4 linked regions of the Saccharomyces cerevisiae S288C genome follow. Changing the gene in region 3 together with the main gene of any one other region gives a genetic interaction. Each region holds a gene or a part of one and is shown on either strand. Other genes may lie near its edges.

Evidence for each region.
Region 1: of ZIP1 (region 3) and SIR2, changing one suppresses a phenotype caused by changing the other (phenotypic suppression), as found in Saccharomyces cerevisiae (3 studies listed by BioGRID, with this or other methods).
Region 2: of ZIP1 (region 3) and CLB1, extra expression of one rescues a mutant of the other (dosage rescue), as found in Saccharomyces cerevisiae (3 studies listed by BioGRID, with this or other methods).
Region 4: mutations in ZIP1 (region 3) and RHO2 together harm fitness more than expected from each alone (negative genetic interaction), as found in Saccharomyces cerevisiae (2 studies listed by BioGRID).

What each region holds. Positions count from the first base shown.
Region 1 is NC_001136.10:375,675-381,352, forward strand, and holds SIR2 (NAD-dependent histone deacetylase SIR2), read right to left. Parts: upstream 2,772-5,678; coding exon 1,083-2,771; downstream 1-1,082. Other genes in the region: spliceosome assembly protein PRP11, read right to left, coding at 6-806; peptide alpha-N-acetyltransferase complex A subunit NAT1, read right to left, coding at 3,200-5,678. UniProt on the Saccharomyces cerevisiae protein: NAD-dependent deacetylase, which participates in a wide range of cellular events including chromosome silencing, chromosome segregation, DNA recombination and the determination of life span.
Region 2 is NC_001139.9:701,295-706,778, forward strand, and holds CLB1 (B-type cyclin CLB1), read left to right. Parts: upstream 1-2,341; coding exon 2,342-3,757; downstream 3,758-5,484. Other genes in the region: B-type cyclin CLB6, read right to left, coding at 4,065-5,207. UniProt on the Saccharomyces cerevisiae protein: Essential for the control of the cell cycle at the G2/M (mitosis) transition. Interacts with the CDC2 protein kinase to form MPF. G2/M cyclins accumulate steadily during G2 and are abruptly destroyed at mitosis.
Region 3 is NC_001136.10:1,030,711-1,037,533, reverse strand, and holds ZIP1 (Zip1p), read right to left. Parts: upstream 5,099-6,823; coding exon 2,471-5,098; downstream 1-2,470. Other genes in the region: Smc5-Smc6 complex subunit NSE3, read right to left, coding at 1-339; inositol monophosphate 1-phosphatase INM2, read right to left, coding at 661-1,539; MGP12 (Mgp12p), read left to right, coding at 1,959-2,303; DPP1 (bifunctional diacylglycerol diphosphate phosphatase/phosphatidate phosphatase), read left to right, coding at 6,115-6,823.
Region 4 is NC_001146.8:453,266-458,258, forward strand, and holds RHO2 (Rho family GTPase RHO2), read left to right. Parts: upstream 1-3,299; coding exon 3,300-3,878; downstream 3,879-4,993. Other genes in the region: NST1 (Nst1p), read left to right, coding at 1-2,865; TOP2 (DNA topoisomerase 2), read left to right, coding at 4,439-4,993.

The sequences.
Region 1 (5,678 bases), 650 kb from region 3:
TACTGTCATACATCGGCTTGTTCTTGTTCGGCTTGTTTAAAGAAAAATTGAACGTAATAAAGTTTTGATATAGCATCCCAAAATGTACACTTTTTATTTAATTCATCTACTCCATCGTTATTATTGTCCATGTCATTGTTTTCGCTGAATAATATTTCGTTTGGAGGTAGCTCAATAGCAATATTTTCAAAGGGTTCATACGCAATAACGAGAAATTTTTTTCCCTTCTGTTTGGTATCTGATAGCTCTAAACCAGATACAATCCTAATGAGAGGAGGGACTTTAGCCTTATCATCGCTATCGACACTATTTTCTTTGACTTCACTGCTATAATTTACCTGGATAGCCAAACCTACTGAACCGTTCTTCGGGTTTTTCACGGTAGCTATTTTACAAACAGGGATCGTACCGTTATTCTTTAAAGATTGCTTAGCTTCAATTATCTTTTGTTGTTGTCGGAAATCATGAGTTGTTTGGCCTTCTCTCCCTAGAGAACTTTTCTCTATACTGATACCACGCCTTAACACATTTAAACCATGTTTTTTACCACCCAAATGCCTTTCAACGCTGGACCACGACATGTGCATTGTATTACATAGTTTACAAACCAGTTTACCGGAATGATTCTTGTAAATGTACGGATTGGACCTTACTTGATCGTCCTTTTCATCTTGGAAAGTGTACGGGACATTTTCGCCTTTACTAAGTAATGATTCGACTTCTTTCCTTCGTTGTAAGTTAAACTGAGATTCTGAGGCTATACCACCACCTCCTTTCTTTGACCCAACGCCTTCTAAATAGTTCATTTTGAATGTATGGATGCGTTAAATGATTTGAATTTGCTGTTCCACCTGCCCTTCTTACATTAAGCTATTTGTGAGAGCCTTGCGTCTTTAGCAGATTTTTTTTTTTCATTTTTTTAGTGAGATGGGCGGTACATGTAATATTTCACCCGGTACAATGAAAATAGCAGAATGTAAATAATATTTGACTACAATAATTGAAAGGAAAACAAAATTGTTTGCCATACTATGTAAATTGATATTAATTTGGCACTTTTAAATTATTAAATTGCCTTCTACTTAGAGGGTTTTGGGATGTTCATCTGATGTAACGACATACACGCCCTTATCCTTCTCTTGGCATTTAAAGTTCTTGTTCTTCAAATCGTTCCATTTCTTATGCGGAATCGTCCAGCCACATTTTTGGGCTACCATAGCTGCAATGTCATCACAGTACCCCAAAAGAGATAAATCAAATTCTGCGTGCTTGACGGGATCACGATTAATCAGGACTTGGGGAACGTGGGAAGGAACCATGTTTACGATTTCAGACACTGGCGCTACTTTTAAACTTGTCCCAATGCAAATCAACAAATCACATTCTAAGATATCTTCGCGAATGCTCTTATGAAATTTATTTGGCAGTGCTTCGCCAAAGAATGTGATATCTGGTTTGAGAACGCCATATGAGTTAAGGATATATGGAGGCCTTTCCGACATTGAACCCTGTGATGCAGCAACACCTACTTTATTATTATATCCCTCTGGGAAATATTCTCTTCTTTTTTTGTAACAGTACGGGCATAGTGGAAGTTCGAGGTTTCTAATTTTATTAAATATCCTCTCACCGGGTAGGTTCCAATGGCAGGTAACGCAGGTGGCAGTAGCAAAAGAGCCATGGCACTGCACCAGTTTATCTGTGCTTATTCCCGCATAAGATTCCAAATTATCAATGTTTTGAGTATAATTTCTCAATAATTTCCCTTTCATTTGTAGCATCTTAATGAAACTATGCAATGGAGAATAAATTTTTTCTGGAGGTAAAACCATATTGGCAATATTATAGAAAACAGAGGGGTCGTGCATAAATATATTGTAATTGAAAACGTCTTGGGGATCATCGAGCCCCAAATGTTTGATCTTTGAATAGAACCCCTCAGAAGATCTGAAGTCCGGGATCCCTAATGAAGTTGAAACACCTGCACCAGTCAGGACCAAAATTTTTCTAGCGGTATGTAATTTTTGAATAAAATGATCAATAGTGAAAAAATTGGATAATCTTAATCTTGTACATAGAACTTTGTTAATTGCTCTTTGCAAATCTTTGATTAGACGAACTGTTTGCTTTTTTGCCAATGGGTCTTCAACATTTGTGACAGATATTGCACTTCCCAAATCTTGAACACGCTCTTGCGAGTTGATATGGACAATACTGTTGATGGTGCCGATAAGCGCTTGATCTTTAACTTCAAAGCCTAGCAACTTGATAAGATAGTAAATGTATAACGAGTTCAAATCCTCGGGGAGGTAAGTGTCTAAAAATTTGTGTGCACCATAGTATTTCAGAAACATTCGAGCATTGAGAGACTCTCGTTTAGTGAAGGAGGGACCATAGAAAATACCATTTGATGGGTTTTTACTGATTATGATTGGCCCCTTGGGCGTCTCTGGTTTCAAAACGTCATTGGACATTGACACTACTGAAGCTGCTGACACTGCCAAGGGATCCATGTCATTAGTTGGTTTGAGCTCCATCGATGCCACTTCTCCGAGCGCAGCTTTAGTGTGCCCAAGTGGATCTGTTGTGTTGGTTTCCCTCAAGGAATCCGGCTGTGCTACTTTTATCTTCTTATGTGAAGGTTCATCATTATTTATAATGTCATCGGGTTGTTTTCTGATCGCGTCTTTATCTTGTGTGGGGCTTACTGTATTTGAAACCTTATTTTCGCTAGTCTTTGATACGGCGTATTTCATATGTGGGATGGTCATCCAGCTTTAATGTGCCGATGAGGGAAAAATGGTTTGAATGTGTCTACCGAAGCGATGCCTAATTTCTTGAAATACGTGAGAATGGGCTTTACATCTCTTCACTAAATATATTTTTCTTGGGTGGTGAAAAAGACAAGTCTTTCAAACTATGCGACCTAGAAAAAAAATATTTTACCGCAACTGGCGGCCAAAGAGGACAAAGAAAAATTCCTCGTTTTTTCTCTGAGATGGGAAAGCAAGAATTTTGGCAAGAAAAGGTCCTGGCTGTCCTGGACCATGGTTGGAAGGAGTGCTAGATGTAGCTTGGAAAAGAAATGACCTATAACAATGTATCTTTTATGAGCATATGCGCATGCATATAAGCATATACATAAAAAATATATACATAAATTAAGTAAGAGTTAATTGACACATTGAGGAGTTGCAGGCTACAAGTAATACTGTAGAATTTCGTTCTGGGAGTGAGGCTCCAAGGGAGAAAGACTGCTAATAATCATTTCTTTCAAATTAGAGCTTCCGATCGGAACATCATCGCGATAGCGATACAGAAATAGCAGGCCATTTATATCATTCTTACCGAATTTTTCTTGGTAGAAATTCAGCCAATCGAAGCTATTGTTAGATATTTCGTTTAATGGGAAATTTTCAGAATACTCTTTTTCAAGGCTCTTCGTGACTACTTTCTTCAAAATTGGATCAAAGGGGGTGTCGTTTCTTGTGGCATGTAACAAAACAATGGCCATACTACCAAATAAACCGCTCGTGGTGCCAAATCTCTTAGCGAATTTGTTTAGAGAAGCAAAGCACAAAGCTAACTTTCCAATTCTGTAGTTAAATTCAAAGTCCAAAATATAATCCCTTTCGTCTTCTCTGACTTGCATGGAGTAGTTATTATAAAATTCGGTAGCGAAGTCCTCCATTGGAGTGGAGGTTTCAATCAACTTTTCGCCGAATACATCGTTATCTTGATCACTCGGATAAGCAGCAACACTCTTGGCTTCAGTTTCTTTCCGTTTGTTCATAGCGGCTGCTTCCTTCTTAGCTTTTTTCTTTTGGCTGCTACTATTTTGGCCATTATTTTGGATTTCATCTGAATTTTCATCTAAAGAATCGGACTTTCTTTTTAAGCGATCATCATGCATTTGAAAGTAAAGCTTTGATGCTTCCTTCATTGCGCGAACATACATGGGTTTGGTATAAAGTGCCTTTCCCCATTCTAACATCTCCAGATAGGCTCTTGGCGTACCTTTTCTCATACAGTATGAATGGAAATCCAACTGGTCATCTTCGAATTGTTTATAAAACTTTGGAATAGCGTTGAATCTTTTCAGCGCCAAACCTTTATATTTGCGAACAAGCCATTGGTTTTCTTTGATATCATTCGCAATTTGTTCGCTTTTATCACTTTCAACCTCTTTTTTTAGCGATGCTAAATCGTCTAATTTCTTTTTTCTATCCAGGTATAGTCTATAATAGGCTTCTGCCTGTTCTACGATGAACCAAGAAGCTTCCACAAGGTGTAAGTCCTTAATACCATTAACAGAATCATCGTTTTTGGTGAAAAGGGACGCGACTTCCACCGCCTTGTCGATATTGTTAGCCCTTAAAAAGTACTTAACCGTTTTACAGTTGATAAATCTATCCTGCAAATCAAGTTGCCTACCTTCCTCCAAAATTCCAGCCGCTGTGTCCATTAGGCCTAAGTGCTTCAGGATACGTGCCTTGAGGATGTAAAACTCAACTAAAGTTGGGGTGTGGTCAAGGGCAGCATCAATATATTCTTGGGCTTTCGGAAAATCCTTAAGGAAAAGGAAATGTTGAGACAAGTAATAATTGGTCCAAATAAAAGGAATTGGATCCTGCGTAGGATCTAATCCGGACAAATAATCAAGGACAATTTTCTCCAATAGTGGTGAAACCTTGGACTTCCTTCTTTGGTAAAGGGGTTTCACGTTGGAAAAAGTTGCTGGAACACCGCGCTCCAATTGAGGCAAAACATATTCTCTCAATTTTTTGCTGAGCTCTTCTTTGTCTTGAAGGAAAGTTAATGGAATAAATTTGGGTGGTTCGCATCTTGGATAAAATTGTTCAAGTTTTCCATACAAAGCCTTCTTCAATTTATTGTCACCTTGGATTCCCAAGGATACTTCCAGTAATTTGTAGTACTTAAAATTATCTGGATTTCTCTTGATCAGAGTTCTATAAACAATGGACGCGTCTTTCAATTGACCCAATTTCATGTAAATAGTTGCTTTTCTCTCTAATAAACCAAATTTATCAAAGACGCATGGCTCGATATCATTCAAATGTTTCAATACATTTTGTAACTTGTCTTGGTTATCACTGGCAGCTTTATACATAATGTCGTTTTTGTACATTAAACACTCGCTGTGTTCATATTTCTCGGAATCAGATATTTTTCCCTCAGCGAGTTTTTCAAACTGAGATAAAGTGTTAATAGCTTGTTGCCTCTCACCGTTCACATCTTGTGCCACAGCCAATGATGTCCAGTTGGCACGGTAACCAAGGAATGCTTCCCAATATTTTTTCCTGGACACTAAAGCATTTTTGAAATCGCCAATTTGTGATTGCAAAGTTGCTAAGTCTCTATATATTTGCTTGTTAGTGGACCCATTGTTCAAAGCTGCCGTGAACCATTTAATAGATTCTTTGTACTCTTTGGTGTTTCTCATGTAGATACCTAATACATGACAGCAGATTGGTGATGCTGAAGCGCCTTCAATTTTTCTGATGGCATTAGCCACGTAGGAAGCAGCGTCATCTTTCTCACCTACAGAATATAAATCAAGACCCTTTAAAGCCAAGGAATCAACGTGACTACCGTCTTTTTTCAAAATTGCGTCTAGCAGCTTGAGAGATTTTTTGTATTGCTTCCCTTCGTATAGT
Region 2 (5,484 bases), on a different chromosome or scaffold from region 3:
AATAGCGTTTACCAATACTGGAATCTCAATGATTATCAGATTACTCACGAATTTCTTTAATAGAATAATGAATGATACCATACAAAATGGAAAAATAAAAATTATAAAATTTTCATGTACAATTACAGATTCCTTTTTGGGGATTTCTATATTCTCGAGGAGGAATTTTAATGCATTCCGTATGCCCATTAATATGGCATTTGATAACAATGAATCCCAAAAACTGTTCCAAGATTCATATATTTCTCGCACCCGTTCCCCTAAACTTTATCCCATCTTAGCGGGTTGAATCCACGTTAACGTTCCACTAGTAGATTTTCCACTTCTGTTACACTTACTGCGCAAGTGGCTCGTTTATCGTTTATTTACTTTGAAACAGTGCGACGGCACTACAAAGGAGCGCGTAACAAACGTTACTATCCCGTTTCATTGTTTCAGATTATCACCATAGTTACATATGTAGGGAATGGCAACCAACCTGTTCCAACATTCTATTCAGACCGAGAAAATCCAGTAGGACTTAACGGTGGTTCCGAAATTCTATTTATATCATTGCTATTAGCTTTATGTATATTGGCAATTGAAGCGGTTCTTCTTCATGACATAATAGTCCATCAACTGTTCGTGCAATTGATACAAATTAATTTTGAAGGCAATATTTAAGTTTGGTTTTCTTACGCAGAATACTTTTTAAAGTATCAACTTTCGTGCATCAGCTTCTGTCAGGTTCAATGATTGTTTAATTCTGGTCTTCAGGTCATATAATTTCACACCATTTTTTATCATCGCTTCTTGAAAATTCGATGTAAGGTAAATAATAGCTTCAGTTTGTTGCATGAGTAATATGCGGAAGATAACTGATTGTTATTTTAGCAGAAATCAATCAAGATGAAAATATCCACTACTTCGAAAATACGTAGCAAGCCAAGTTCAATCGGTAATCTATAGGTTCGGCAAGAGACTTTGCAATGCTAATGTTTACATTTCCTTGCCACAGTTCTCGTTGGAAACAAGCCTAATGTTAACGTATTTTCACCCGCATTAAACTACAATTGTTTTGGACGTAAGAATTTACAGCGCAATTGTTCTTTTCTATTTTATCATTACGATTGTTCCAAGAGCTTCTTGCGTTATTTACCATATATTCTTGATCTATGAATGATAATAAACAAGAGTAAATGAATGTTTTATATGTTCATAATGACAACAACTGGGGGGGAAATGAAAATATTTATCTTCTATTCATAGTAAAAATAATCTTAAAATTGAAACTAACGCTGAAAACTGCAACAGTTACGGCATTTTTTATTGATGCGTAAAAGCATTGTCTTTGTCAATTTTTGAACTATCGAATTGCTCCATAATATCATTCATGGTGTTATCCAATTATTTAGTAAGCTTCGCTTGTACTCAGTCATTTTTTTTTTTTGCATCCAATTTTATTGAAAGTCCGCCCGCTCTGTTAAAAAAGGCGTTTCTTCCAAATTTGAATAGGACACGATCGAGATTCCCTCCGATTAATTATGTGCTACTGGCTCCTCTTTCGTCGTATTGCAAGTGGACTTTTCAACGAGGCTATGCATGCCCAGTGTCATTCTTGAAGCAGGCACACACAGACGCGCTTCAATTAGTTTTCTTTACTAGATGCATCATTTGGGCGGTTTTTCACTACCGTTTTCGAGTAGGGGCTCTCACAAAACGGGCACGACCTTTTGTTTACAACCGCCCAAAGAGGAAAAACATCAACAATCAAGAAGCGGACACAAAATATAGAAGCACCATAAAACTCACGTCAACGGTAACTTTAAATTTGTTGTATTAATTAATCATTTTCAACTTGCATTTTTACAGCATCATTTATGGGTATCCTGCAAGTTAGGTGCGGAACGTACATAACATATTACTTCAATTTGCGTTCCGCATACGGTCTGCCCAATTTGTTTTGTTTGTGATTTCCTCATTCGTCTTCCTCTGCAGAAACGGGTTTGATCCTTCTTTTATGAATACGGCGTGTAGTTATATATATTAAGTAATAGAAGTTATTGCACTTCTGTGTAAGAAGAAGATACTAGGGTGATCTATTCTAGGCAATTTTGGTTGTATTGTGTTTTTTACATTCGGCCAAACTTGAGCAGGCTGCAATTTTAGTGTCTTCGGTTTTTCCAGCGACAGTTTTACTTGTGGCTCTTGGTATAGTTTCTTAAAACTATTAAAGTTGCTAACTGGTGCAGCTGTTTAGATCACAAAAGCGTAATTAAGAATAAGATCTACCAACAAGAACAGAGCCAAAATATTTTCGTCCGTTATATCAACCATCAAAGGAAGCTTTAATCTTCTCATAATGTCACGATCCCTTTTGGTAGAGAATAGTAGAACCATTAATAGTAATGAAGAGAAGGGGGTAAACGAAAGTCAATATATCTTACAAAAGAGAAACGTCCCAAGGACCATTCTCGGTAATGTCACAAATAATGCAAATATCCTGCAAGAGATTTCTATGAACAGAAAAATTGGGATGAAGAACTTCTCAAAATTGAACAACTTCTTTCCTTTAAAGGATGATGTTTCGAGAGCCGATGACTTCACCTCCTCTTTTAATGACAGTAGACAGGGGGTGAAACAAGAAGTACTAAACAATAAGGAAAATATTCCTGAATATGGATATTCCGAGCAAGAAAAGCAGCAGTGCTCAAATGATGACTCTTTTCATACGAATTCGACTGCCTTGAGCTGTAATCGGTTGATATACTCTGAGAACAAGTCTATTTCCACTCAAATGGAATGGCAGAAAAAAATAATGAGAGAAGATTCCAAAAAAAAAAGGCCAATATCAACTCTTGTAGAGCAGGATGACCAGAAAAAGTTCAAACTCCATGAATTGACTACAGAAGAAGAGGTTCTGGAGGAGTACGAATGGGATGACCTAGATGAAGAAGATTGTGATGATCCCTTAATGGTGAGCGAAGAGGTTAATGATATCTTCGATTATTTGCATCACTTGGAAATAATCACATTGCCAAATAAGGCGAATCTCTATAAGCATAAAAATATTAAGCAAAACAGAGACATTTTGGTGAACTGGATAATCAAGATTCATAATAAGTTTGGCCTTCTGCCGGAAACTCTATATTTGGCCATAAACATAATGGATAGATTTCTTTGTGAAGAGGTGGTTCAGTTAAATAGATTGCAACTGGTTGGTACATCATGCCTGTTCATCGCATCTAAGTATGAGGAAATATACTCCCCTAGCATAAAACATTTTGCGTACGAGACAGACGGTGCATGCTCTGTGGAAGATATTAAAGAGGGTGAAAGATTTATATTGGAAAAACTCGATTTTCAAATTAGTTTCGCTAACCCAATGAATTTCTTAAGGAGAATATCAAAAGCGGATGACTATGATATCCAGTCTAGGACGTTAGCGAAGTTCCTAATGGAAATATCTATAGTGGACTTCAAGTTCATCGGGATATTACCGTCATTATGTGCCTCAGCGGCAATGTTCCTTTCGAGAAAAATGCTGGGCAAGGGCACCTGGGATGGCAACTTAATCCATTATAGTGGTGGTTACACAAAGGCAAAACTATATCCCGTTTGCCAATTACTGATGGATTATCTTGTTGGATCTACTATTCACGACGAGTTCTTGAAAAAATATCAATCGAGAAGATTTTTAAAGGCTTCCATAATTTCTATCGAATGGGCATTGAAGGTAAGGAAAAATGGATATGATATTATGACATTGCATGAGTGAAGGTGCTAGCCTACACAGAAAACCAAAATCTCACTTCCTTACTTTATCATCTATTTTATAGAAAAATCAGGCATTCATTATTCATATAACGGTTATCTCATATATATTATCACACGGTATCAGTTTTGTAGGCTGTAATAATTAATTCATTTATAAATTTTTTCTCCCATAATTGGAAAATTATCTTTAAAGTGAGGAATAATGCATTTTCTTTCTTTTTTTGAATACATAAAAGAAATAAAGAAGTATGTCTATCGATGATATTTAAGATGCAGGGGGTTAGCTGGCTATAATTTTGATCTATGTTTCAACGTTTTTGTTTACACCAGTCAAAAACCTTGAAATAAACCATGCCATGTTTAGGCTTTTTGTATTTAAGTCTCAAGGAATCTAGATTCGTATCAGGTACAGCAATATCTTCAACTAGTTCACTGATAAAATCCTTAAACGCTGGATCTGATTCAATATCAATGCCGCCACTATAATGAATAAAAGTTTCATCCCATTTGGAATTTTCATTTTTAATTTTTCTGGCGATATACATGGACATTGCAGCTAAATATGATGGCTTCAGGTGGATGAATTTATTACAACAAATCGAATATTCCATGATGAATTTGGCCATGTTCCTTGTTTCAATGCAGTAATTGTCAGCTTTTGAAATTCTCCTAATGAAATTTAGGGGGTTTGGTAGAGATATGTTATAACCTAAAGAACTTAGAACGAATAGCTCAGCCTTCCTAATTCCTTCGACAGTGGCAGCACCGTCAGTCACGTACGCAAAATTTGTTATTTTTGGTAATTTAACTTCTTCAAATTTACAGGCAATGAACAGGCAAGTGATGCATAGTAGTTGTAATTTATTCAATTTAACAACATTTTGTGATAAAAATCGATCTAGCAGGTTGATCGCTAAAAATAATGTTTCAGGTAAGCAGTGAAATTTCTCATGAACTTCAACCAACCAGTCAATTAACAGCGCCCTCATGGAGCTTTTCAAATGATAGGGAGATTGCGTGTCCATTAAATAGTTATGTGTCGGTAGCATTTGGATTTCCTTCTCGTAAAGATGAGAAAATATAGAATCTGTATATTCTGCTACCATGAATGGATCATCCATCTCTATCGAATCCAAATTTTTCCATTGATGACATTTTATTTTTTTCACAGTTTTTGGCTCTATAGGATCGGTTGAATCATTTGATAATTGTCTCTTTCTTGTTTTTTCCAAATGGGTGGAATCTCTTTGCAATTTACCTCGAGGGAGTTGTAAAGAATCGATTTTGTTACTGTTTACCTCGGATAGAACTTTTTTTTCATTCGTAGAGTGAGGTGTCAAGTTAATTGAACTTTCTCTTGGAATGGTATGGAAAGCATTTTCCTTGCCTATACAATCTTCATTATTAATTTGGATTTTCCTTTCACTAATTGGACTAGGGATACAATTCATTTTAAAAATTTAAAAGGAGGGAGAGAATATCAGAGAATAATAATTTTCAACACACTGATTTGTATGTTGTATGAACGCTAGATTAGTGAAGCTTGTTATTATTTAATAAAAGATAAAAGTCACTTGTATGAAATGAAGCAGTTATATATATGTTAATAAGAAAAAGGCAAAAACTTAACCCTAGCAAAAAAGGTAATCAATGTGCTAAAACGGTAAATATTTAAACGCAGGTTGCGAATTGCCAATTGCCAATTGTAGGATACACAGGGAGAGTAGA
Region 3 (6,823 bases):
AGGCATTGATTTATTTGTATTGCTATTGCTTCCATTACCGCCAGCGTTCATATTATTTTTTGACGGCAATCCTTGTAATTCAAACCCATATACGTTATACAGTATAGCATTTATGTCCATAAACATTTTACTAAAAGACGGTTTTGCTATGTTTTCCTCGCGAGCAGCTTCATGTATAACAGATTGTAACTTGTTTCTTGTTATGATCGAATTTTGAGATTCTCCTCTCGATAAAATATACCTAACCATTTTTCTAGCTACAGGATTCTCTTTAACGATCTTGGCCACGGCTAAATCTTCTGTTAAATCCACATCGCTGTCATTATCTATAGAACTCATGCTAATGAGAAGCTTATGTTTATCGAACAACCTTCCCTTGTAGCATACTGATATAGGACCCCTTCAATCGAAGTTGATAATAAGCGCATTACTCTTCATTGAAATTTTTCTTCACGTATATCGCGCTGTTAAAGGAGAGGGCCGCATGCATGTAATACTTGCTATTCTTGAGTCAGAAGCCCACACTAAGTGACCTGTGAAATCAAGTTGCTGCTTCAAGATATCGTCCTGTACTGGAAAAAAATACTAGTAGGAATTGCGTGAAGTACTATATAAACTTTTCTTAGATGTAGCTTATTTAACGACACCTGAGGGGGGCATTTAGTATTCTAACTCACCCGCAACGTGAGGCCAAAACGATTCTGCAAATCGCTTCTGCTCCATCGACTCACATCCACCTCTAATAGCCAAGTAACATCTTCTGTCTAATGGAATGTTCCATTCTCCACAATTTCCGCCAACCATTATTCCTCCTGCTTCCTCAAGAATACACCAACCGGCACAAACATCCCAAGCCCAGCAGCCACCTTCCCAATAAGCATCAAGCATGCCGCTCGCTACGTAGCATATGTTCATGGCAGCACTTCCTGCACTTCTGAACCCGTGAACAAAGGCGCCGGACTCACTTAGTAAGTTTTTATAAGTATTCATTTTCTTATCAAAGTTTCCTTGGGAACCTTCAGTTCTTTCCGAACCTCCTTCTAAAGCAATTAAGGATTTTTGCAAAATCAATGGCCTTTTTGAAACCTTTATCTCCTGATCATTTAAGAAAGCTCCATTGCCTTTGGAAGCATGGAATAGTTGGTTTAAGTGAGGATTGAAAACCACACCAACAACCGGCTTCCCCATTTCAGCTAAACCTAGAGATGTACAACTATAGGGGTAACCGTGAATAAAATTAGTAGTACCATCGATGGGATCAACAATAAATGTAGGGCCGTTAGTTATTTTCGTGACACCTTTTACATAAGTTTCTTCTCCGATAAATTTGAAACTGGGATACTTGGCCGTTAAATTTTCCTTGATTATAGATTCAATTTGTTTGTCTAAAGCAGTTACCAAATCTACGCCATTTGCTTTATCATCATATGAACAAAAGTTTGTTCCTGCGTGCGATTTTACGAGAGGTCCTATTTTACTCCTAAGTAATTCAATAAATGTGTTCTCCACTTCCTCTAGTACTTGCCTCGTTAATACCATCGCTTCAATCTAAGTTTACTTTACAAGGGCTTGTGGAGCTTCAACTTCACTTATTCTCTATATTGTTTTCACGATTTTTTCTCCCCACGATTTCATATGTAATGAAGCAGGGTGCTTCACGGCGTTATCACTCGGAACACTGACGTTCTTTATTAAGAATTACCGTTTTAAGGGAAATAATAAGAGGTCACTTAATATGACTGTGAGAATCCATTTTTGTAGTTTTTTAGTTACTGGCTTTGGAATGTCAATATAACTGTGATTGACTTCCCTTTTTTTCGCTTTATGGGTCTATGATGTGCGCAAGTTGTTACCTTTCCGTAGAGAGTTCGGAGTTGATGCATTGTAAAGTTTCGTTTAATTCATAACAGAAATTCGTAATTATTCAGTAAGACATAAAACTTAAGGAACATATCACCATGTTGAGAGCGTTCCGCTGTTCTATACATACTTCGAGGGTATTGTTACATGATGCTGGAGTGAAATTAACTTTCTTCTCAAAGCCTAATTGTGGGTTATGCGATCAAGCAAAGGAAGTGATAGATGATGTATTTGAAAGAAAGGAATTTCATAATAAAGCAGTTTCACTAGAGATAGTCAACATAACTGACCGAAGAAACGCAAAATGGTGGAAGGAATATTGCTTCGACATACCAGTACTTCATATTGAGAAAGTTGGTGATCCTAAGTCGTGCACCAAGATCCTGCACTTTCTTGAAGAAGACGATATCAGTGATAAAATAAGGAGAATGCAATCTAGATGACCTCTTTTGTTTTTACTAGAGTTACAACACTGTAAATATTTATAAGCTATGAATAAGTATATACCTCAAAAAACTATATCTACGCTAATTTTACTATGCATACTTCTTACGCAGGGAACAAAATGAAATGTATTCGCACAAAACGATTTCAAATTTTCCATTATCCTCTATTTCCTTCTCCTTTTCTTGCTTATTTTTAATGACTGGTCTTCGTCTTCTACTAGTAGTAATTTTTTTCTTGAAGAAATTGGAGGTTTCATGCAATTTGAACCCTTCTTGATTTTTCCTCTCACTGGTTTAATTTGGATTGGGGAAGGGTTGGTTAACTCTAGGTCGTCATTTGATGATGAAGAAAGATCGAACTCATCGTTAAATTTGGATGTTTCTTTGGATGAATTAATTCTTGACTTACTTATATGATCCACCTTAGGACACTTTTTCATAGGAGAGTGAATGGCAGCAGAGTTATTAGGAAATAAGTTGGACGTCGTAGCATTTTTTTTGGGTGAATCTGATGGTTTAGTAAAATTTTGTGTACCTTTTTTACTAGGCTCGTTCCGTTTATGGTTTTTTATCTCTTCTAGCTCTTTAATCTTCTGTTCTAATTCCCTCTTTTGCGATTGCACCTTTTGCTGTAAATTTTTGGTGACTTCTTCCAAACTTTCGAGGTTATCTTGAAGTTCTAACTTTTCAGCTGTTATATCTTGCTTCTCCGATTTCAGAACTATCACTTGCTGTTTTAGGGTTTTTACATCGCTTAGTGATTCTTCAACACCAGTTTCCTTTTTTTCTAAACAATTTTTTAAGTGCCTATTCTGCTCTTCAAGCTCCAATTCATGAGCCTTCAGTTGTACTACTTCGACGTTTAGCTTTTGTAGCTGCTCATTGTTCTTTTGGAAAGCCTCCAGTTTGGTTGTATGATCCTTCTGTTCATTTTCTTTGATTTCTACTAGCTGTTGAATTCTTTGCTTCAGAGTGTCGTTTTCGGAAACTAAAGCCTTCACAATTTCATTCTGAGAAGATATTTTATTTTCGTAATTTGATTTTGTTGTGATGTTCAAATTGTTGAGTTTTTCTAGTTGATCCTGGACTTTTTTCAGTTCATTAGAAAGGTTTTCATTTTTTTCAGTTAAACTTTGTTCTTTGCCAGAAATTTGTGAAATTTCGATATTCTTCGCCTCCAACTTTTTGACCAAATCTTCATATTGTGCTTCTTTAGTACCAAGAGAGCTAATAATCTGATTTTTTTGTGAAGACAAAGTTGACCTTTCACTCTCCAAATGTTTTATCCTTTCTTCATACTCATTCGACTGAACTATTTCTGCCTTATATGCCTTCACCAAGTTTTCCAAACTCGCGTAATTTTTGGCTGTTTGAGACGCATCATCAAGAAGCTCTTGCCTTGTGTTATTCATTTCACTTACCAAAGCAGTTTGAATATTCCCTGATGACGTTAATAGTTCTTCTTGTACTCCCATTATAAGTCCTTTTTGCGTTACACTCAGCTCATTTATTGTTTTTGCCATTTCATCCTTACTGGATGACATTTTTTGTTCAAGATTTTCTTTGATATCTTCATATTGCTGCTTTAGCATGGTCTCTGTATTACTACTCAACTCTACAGTGGTGTTCCTCAAGCCTACGTTAAGGGTATCTTTTGCCACATCGAAGTGCTTTTGTAATTTTTTTTCAAACAAATCATGAACTCTTTCTTCGAATTTGTTAAATTGCAGTAAATGGTGTGCTTTATCTTCTGAAAAGAAATTCTCAATTGATTTAATCATTTCTTCTCTATTTTTTCCCATTTCCTGTATTAAGGAACTGTTTTTGATTTTTTCTTCGCTCAACTGACCTGAACAATCATCTAGTTCTCTTTTCAGGTATTCAATCTCTTTACCTTTTTTCATTAATTCTGCATCCGCCTCCTTTTTGTTCTTCCCTAAATCATTTATTGTTTTGTTCAAGTTTTCAATACTTGTCTTAAATCCGCTTATCCTTCTCTGATATAGTTGGTGGTTTTGTCTTAAATCTTTCAATTTAGTTTCTTGATTATTCTTATGGCTCGTCAACGTTGCAATCCTTTCTTGAAGAGTTTCTAAACAAGATTTATATTTTCCGACTTTTTCATTGATCTTATCAGAATTGGAAGCATACGACTGTAGTCGAACTTTCAACTTTGCATTATCCTGTTGCTGCTTTTGTAGCTCTTGCTTTAAATTTGAACATATTCTTTGAGTGTTTGTGAAGGCTTCTAACAGGACATCATTTGAAGATGTACTAGAATTATTGATGGACGTGTGCAAAGGAGCCTTTCCATTTGTCATAGTATATTCATGCATTTTACTATCCTTGAGAGTTGTCTCAGAATCGTTAGGATCCCCATGACTTTCTTTCGTTTCTTTTGCTACTCCTTCACTCACTTCTCTTACTTCTGTAATTTCAAAATCTTCATCAGTATCATTTTCAATTGCGGCAACATCATTTTTTAAAATTCTGTTGTATTGGTCTGTTGATGTTGTTTTTTTTGGTGAACCTATTTCCATATCATCAGAATAACCATGGTTTCTCTGACTAAGGCTCATACTTGTAATCAGTTCTTGTTCGGTAGAAGTTTTGTGGGGTTTTTTGAAGGTATCATCTCCCTCTATAGAAGAACCCACGTCTAAACAGTTGGATGAATTCTCGACAACAGTATTAGCGGAAGAATCTGAATCTACATCTCTGACTCTCAGCTTAGCGAAGATGTTTGGTCGAGGCTTGAATCCCATTGAACTATCTCTAAAAAAGTTTGACATTCTCTAAAAATTTAGCCGCCGAGGGTATTTTACTTCCGAATCTCAAAGAAAAAAATATGCTTACTGTTAATCCTAAAAGAGGTGACAATATTCAGCTAAAACTTTCAGAGACTTGCAGTTCTCTTCAAGGCGGTCAACTTTAACAAAGAGGTAGCAGATTGTTTTCTTTATTTGTTCGCTATTTACAAGTGAAGAAGCAGCTCTTCATAAAGGGACAACACGGCTTATAGCATTTTTTACGAAAAGTTTGACCGTTTAGAACAAATATTTAAAAACTAGTACTCGATTTCTGGCGCAGCAAAAATATAGCATTATGTCCGATAAACACAGTTGTGATCTGTCTTGTGATCGCATACTCTGCAGATAATCAGTTGAAATAGCAGCTTTTAAGTGAGAATCTTATTCTTAGTCTACATCGTTACATTGTATCAGTCACAGGTACGGAGAGAAATTATACTTTTCGATTTCATTCAATGTAGTTTCTTTTTTACATTAAATATAGTTTTCCAGTAGTGCACTATTATTAAGGCGCTTCTGTTTTTAGTCAACACTTTTTCAGATAGTACCTTTCAGGTGGTTAGAGTGCGATCCCTTTAAAAAAAAGTATTCGTCAACGATGACAGGGTAAAGAATAAATGCAGCACGCCTGGCGTATACTGCTATAATTGTACATCATGTTATCGGCGTTGATTCTCAATTGTTTGGTGATTAGCTTTTATATATAGATAGAAACCCAACGTTGGATAACCTCACGACTAACTTTTTTGTATTTTAGAAATAATTTGTCGATCGGTTGTATATTTTTGTCATATATTATCTAGAAACGTTAGGGAATAAACTGTTATCTAGGGTCCACTAACATACGCGCAGTTCGGAAATCAGCAAACATCACTTAAAGGACACCTGCTATAAACTGAATTGTGTCCAATTTTTCGAGTAGTTAGCAGTTCAATAAAGGGCACGTTATCAATTGTTAAAGGCAAAGAATCAGAATTAAATCATAGCAAACGACCAAAATGAACAGAGTTTCGTTTATTAAAACGCCTTTCAACATAGGGGCGAAATGGAGATTAGAAGATGTCTTTTTGCTCATTATCATGATACTTCTTAACTACCCAGTGTATTACCAACAACCGTTCGAACGTCAGTTTTACATTAACGATCTCACTATATCGCATCCTTATGCGACAACTGAACGTGTAAATAACAACATGTTGTTTGTTTATAGTTTTGTCGTGCCATCTTTAACCATATTGATAATTGGTTCCATTTTGGCCGATAGAAGACATTTGATTTTTATTTTGTACACATCTCTCCTTGGTTTATCACTCGCTTGGTTCAGTACGAGTTTCTTTACAAACTTCATCAAGAATTGGATTGGAAGACTAAGACCAGATTTTCTAGATCGTTGCCAACCTGTTGAAGGCTTGCCATTGGACACTTTATTTACTGCAAAAGATGTGTGTACGACTAAGAATCACGAACGTCTGTTGGATGGGTTTAGGACAACTCCGTCAGGTCATTCAAGTGAAAGCTTTGCAGGACTGGGTTATTTGTACTTCTGGCTATGTGGGCAACTTTTGACTGAATCACCGTTGATGCCTTTATGGAGAAAAATGGTGGCCTTTCTACCACTGTTAGGAGCTGCACTAATTGCTCTATCCAGAACTCAAGATTACAGACATCATTTCGTCGATGTAATTTTAGGGTCTATGTTGGGTTATA
Region 4 (4,993 bases), on a different chromosome or scaffold from region 3:
AAAATAGCAGAGGAGTATGTACAAAAAATGATGATGTATCCGAATATTAGAGCACTGACTGATGACTTAATGAATAGTAACGGGCAAGGATTTCTTAATGCAATCGAAGACTTTGTGCGAGATGGCCAGATACAAGCATCGAAAAAAGACGACAGCATCACTGAAGATGAAGCATCTAGTACAGATTTGACTGATCCAAAGGAGTTTACCACAATGCTGCATAGTGGAAAACCACTTACAGAAGATGAGTATGCCGACCTCCAGCGCAACATTGCTGAAAGGATGACTAATGCGTACGATACCGCAAGTAAGAAATTCAAAGATGTGTCACAATTAGAGAAGGAGCTATTTACACGATTCATGTCGGGGAGAGACAAAAAATCTTTCAGAGAGTTGATAATTCAATCCTTTAAAAATAAATTTGATGGGGAATTAGGTCCATCCGTTCTAGCAGCCACTTTAAGCTCGTGCTTTTCATCTCAATCGAAGGATACTTCGTTAGATACTGATTCTATATATGAAGATGAAGATGAGGAAGACTATGATGACTATTCAGAATATGCTGAAGATAGCGAAGAGGTTTCTGAGTATGAAGGAATAGAGGCAGTCGAAAAACCAGAGCATGATGAAAAAAGCAACGGGATACGTGAAACATTACATTTAAGTTATGACCACGATCATAAACGACAGAACCACCCTCACCATCACTACCATAGTACCAGTACCCACAGCGAAGATGAACTGAGTGAAGAAGAGTATATTTCCGATATAGAATTACCGCATGATCCTCATAAGCACTTTCACCGCGATGATGATATATTAGATGGGGATGAAGATGAGCCAGAGGAAGAGGATGAAAATGAAGGCGATGACGAAGAAGATACTTATGACAGCGGTCTTGATGAAACTGACCGTTTAGAAGAAGGTCGGAAATTGATTCAGATAGCCATTACAAAGTTGCTTCAAAGTCGAATAATGGCTTCTTATCATGAGAAACAGGCAGATAATAACAGACTAAAACTTCTACAAGAACTAGAAGAAGAAAAAAGAAAGAAAAGAGAGAAGGAAGAAAAAAAGCAGAAAAAAAGAGAAAAAGAGAAAGAAAAGAAGAGGCTGCAACAGTTAGCTAAAGAGGAAGAAAAACGAAAAAGGGAAGAAGAGAAAGAAAGGCTAAAGAAGGAATTAGAAGAGCGTGAAATGAGAAGACGAGAGGCTCAAAGGAAAAAGGTTGAAGAAGCCAAACGGAAGAAAGACGAGGAGAGAAAGCGTAGATTGGAAGAGCAGCAGCGGAGAGAAGAAATGCAAGAAAAACAACGGAAACAGAAAGAGGAACTAAAACGCAAGAGGGAAGAAGAAAAGAAACGTATTAGAGAACAGAAAAGGCTAGAACAAGAAAAGCTACAGAAAGAAAAAGAAGAAGAAGAGAGACAAAGATTAATTGCAGAGGATGCGCTAAGAAAACAGAAATTAAACGAAGAACAAACATCTGCGAACATACTTTCCGCCAAACCTTTTACTGAGAATGGAGTTGGCAACCCTGTTTCATCTCAATCACATCCCAACATGACTAACTACCAAGAGGATAATAGTTGCAGTATCAACGATGAAATACTTAAAATGGTTAATAGCGTGGCTGCATCCAAACCAGTTTCACCCACAGGCTTTAACGTTCATGATCTACTTCTTCCTTCAACTAACAACCAGATGCCTGCTATGGAACAATCACACTTGCCACAGCCAGGTAATCAAAACAACCATTTTGGAACTACAACTATTCCGAATGCGTTAGACTTGGCTACAAAATCTTCTTTACAGACTGAAAACAACTATTTAATGAACTCACAAACTCTGGAAAATACAAGTCTATTGATGCATAATAATTCATCGCCAACTAAGCTATTGCCAAATGACTTTGGTTTATCATCTTGGGGTGGTCTGACAAATACAATGTCCATAAATCCTACATGTAAACCACCGGTTATTCAAACTTCAGAAATGGAATCACAAGCCCATAAATCTAGTCCTCAAGCTACAATGCCATCTTTTGGACTACCTAATGGTGGTACTCACCGTAAATCGTTTACCGACGAGTTGAACACTTTAACTAGCATGCTTTCTTCTTCCGGGTTCGCAGATACATCACTTTCATCATCAGGATTCCCCCCATCACAGCGTTCTGTGTGGAATGATCAAAAAAGCTCATTTTCGGGACCGTCGACTGCAGGAAACTTTAACAACAGCAGTATACAAAGCGGTATGCTGCTCGCACCTACATTAGGAAGCGTTGAATCGTTTCCAAATCGAACTTCTATCTGGGACAGCAGCACCACTCCGATGATGAATAAATCCGAGCTTTCCGGTCGCAATATAACTAGTACTGCGCAAGATAGCCCTGCGTTCATGGCATCAAATATCTGGTCTAGTAACAGTCAATACAATTCACCATATTTGACTAGCAACGTCCTTCAATCCCCTCAAATTTCGAGTGGAGTGGATGAAAGCCACATTCTGGATAGCATCTACAATACTTATTTAGCTATTTCCCCACAAGATAGTTTAAACCCCTACATTGCTATCGGGACACTATTCCAAAATTTAGTAGGACTTAACTTGGATTACTCGACGTTTATCAACAAATTGATAAGCATGCAAGGAGCCTACAATTGCGAATTCTTTACTGATAACAATGGATCCATTACCCACGTTCGATTTGCGAGACAAACTCCCGCTGGCCACTCAAAGGGGTTGCTGAATCAACTCTTTAGTGGATTGAACGATCCAACTGCTACACCATTTACGTCAAGGCCTCATACCTCCACAAGGGCTAGTTTTCCAATTGCCTCTTCAACTACGCAAACGTCTTAAATTTGCTCCGGTACGCAGGGCCAAAAATATTTACATACATACATAATTCGACGAAATTTCAGAAGAGACACTAAACAATCGTACATCTCTCTACTCGATGTGAGCCACGCGTCGGTTTTTCTTACCGTCGTGGCTTTAGAGGTGAGGCTGCGACACCCCATACATCTTACCCGGCATTTAATTTCCATTTTTCGCAGGAATGTGAATATGATAATAGACTTCGGTACACTCTTTTTTAGGTATAACATATATCAATTGTTCAACAACAATTATTCAAAGCGCAACTCTCCAAAGGTAGTTATTCTGATAATTTGAACCAAAAGTCCCCAGATTAAGTCTTAATTAAACTGCCCTTGCATACCGCTGTAAACGATTTGTGTGCAGACATCAATTGCTGAAACGTTCTGCTTTGGTTGTGCTTTTGATCCCGTACTATGTCTGAAAAGGCCGTTAGAAGGAAACTTGTTATTATTGGTGATGGTGCTTGTGGCAAGACCTCTTTACTATATGTATTTACATTAGGAAAATTCCCTGAACAATATCATCCGACAGTGTTCGAGAATTATGTCACTGATTGCAGAGTTGACGGAATAAAAGTGTCCTTAACGCTCTGGGATACAGCGGGACAAGAGGAATATGAACGTTTACGTCCATTCTCATATTCAAAAGCAGATATAATATTAATTGGGTTTGCTGTAGACAATTTTGAATCACTAATTAACGCAAGGACGAAATGGGCGGATGAGGCATTACGATATTGTCCTGACGCACCAATCGTTCTTGTAGGCTTGAAAAAAGATTTGAGGCAAGAAGCCCATTTTAAAGAGAATGCTACCGATGAAATGGTTCCCATTGAAGATGCAAAACAAGTTGCAAGGGCCATTGGGGCCAAGAAATACATGGAATGTAGTGCACTGACTGGTGAGGGTGTGGATGATGTCTTTGAAGTAGCTACAAGAACCAGTTTGCTTATGAAGAAGGAACCAGGGGCTAACTGTTGCATAATTTTATAAAAAAAACTTACACTGAAATGATACATTATCTTTTTAGCAAGGGAGGGAAAAACAATACCGTATTATAATTTTAATCAAATTTCATAGATATAATGGAATAAGTTAAAAAGGCTTATCGATAGTGCATGTATAAAACACAAACCCATTCGATATGTTTGTTCGTTAATGTCCTACAGATTCTTATTCGAGAGCCTTTACCAGAAGCAAAATTTCCGACGGATATAAGAAAATGGCACATCAAACCATAGCTCAAGGTACTGCGCCGATGAGCTAAACGGAACTGCCTAGTTTGATTATTTTTCGTTTATATACTTATTTACTTATTTACGCTATTTGTATTCGAATTCCTTACGAGGCGATGAGTGAAAGACGCGCCAGTAGGACGCGTCTTTTTTTTTTCAGTATAATGTAAACATATTATTGAATTGCCGAAGGAGACAAAAAGAAAAGAAAAGAGGAGATCATCTTTCATATAATCCAACCACGTCGTAGAGCAAACCACGACAATTTTAACTTTCTGTTTCAGTTAAAGGAGTTTATAACGACCAGCACGGCTAACCATGTCAACTGAACCGGTAAGCGCCTCTGATAAATATCAGAAAATTTCTCAACTGGAACATATCTTAAAAAGACCAGACACTTATATCGGTTCTGTTGAAACTCAAGAGCAGCTGCAATGGATATACGATGAAGAGACCGATTGCATGATTGAAAAAAATGTCACAATTGTACCAGGGTTGTTCAAAATCTTTGATGAAATCTTAGTCAATGCGGCAGATAATAAAGTTCGTGATCCATCGATGAAACGAATCGATGTAAACATACATGCTGAGGAACATACTATAGAAGTGAAAAATGATGGAAAAGGTATTCCCATAGAGATTCATAACAAGGAGAATATTTATATTCCTGAAATGATATTTGGTCATTTGTTGACATCATCCAATTATGATGATGATGAGAAGAAAGTCACTGGTGGTAGAAACGGTTATGGTGCTAAGCTTTGTAATATATTTTCCACTGAATTCATATTAGAAACTGCAGATCTAAATGTTGGCCAGAAATATGTTCAAAAATGGGAAAATAACATGAGCATTTGCCACCCCCCAAAAATA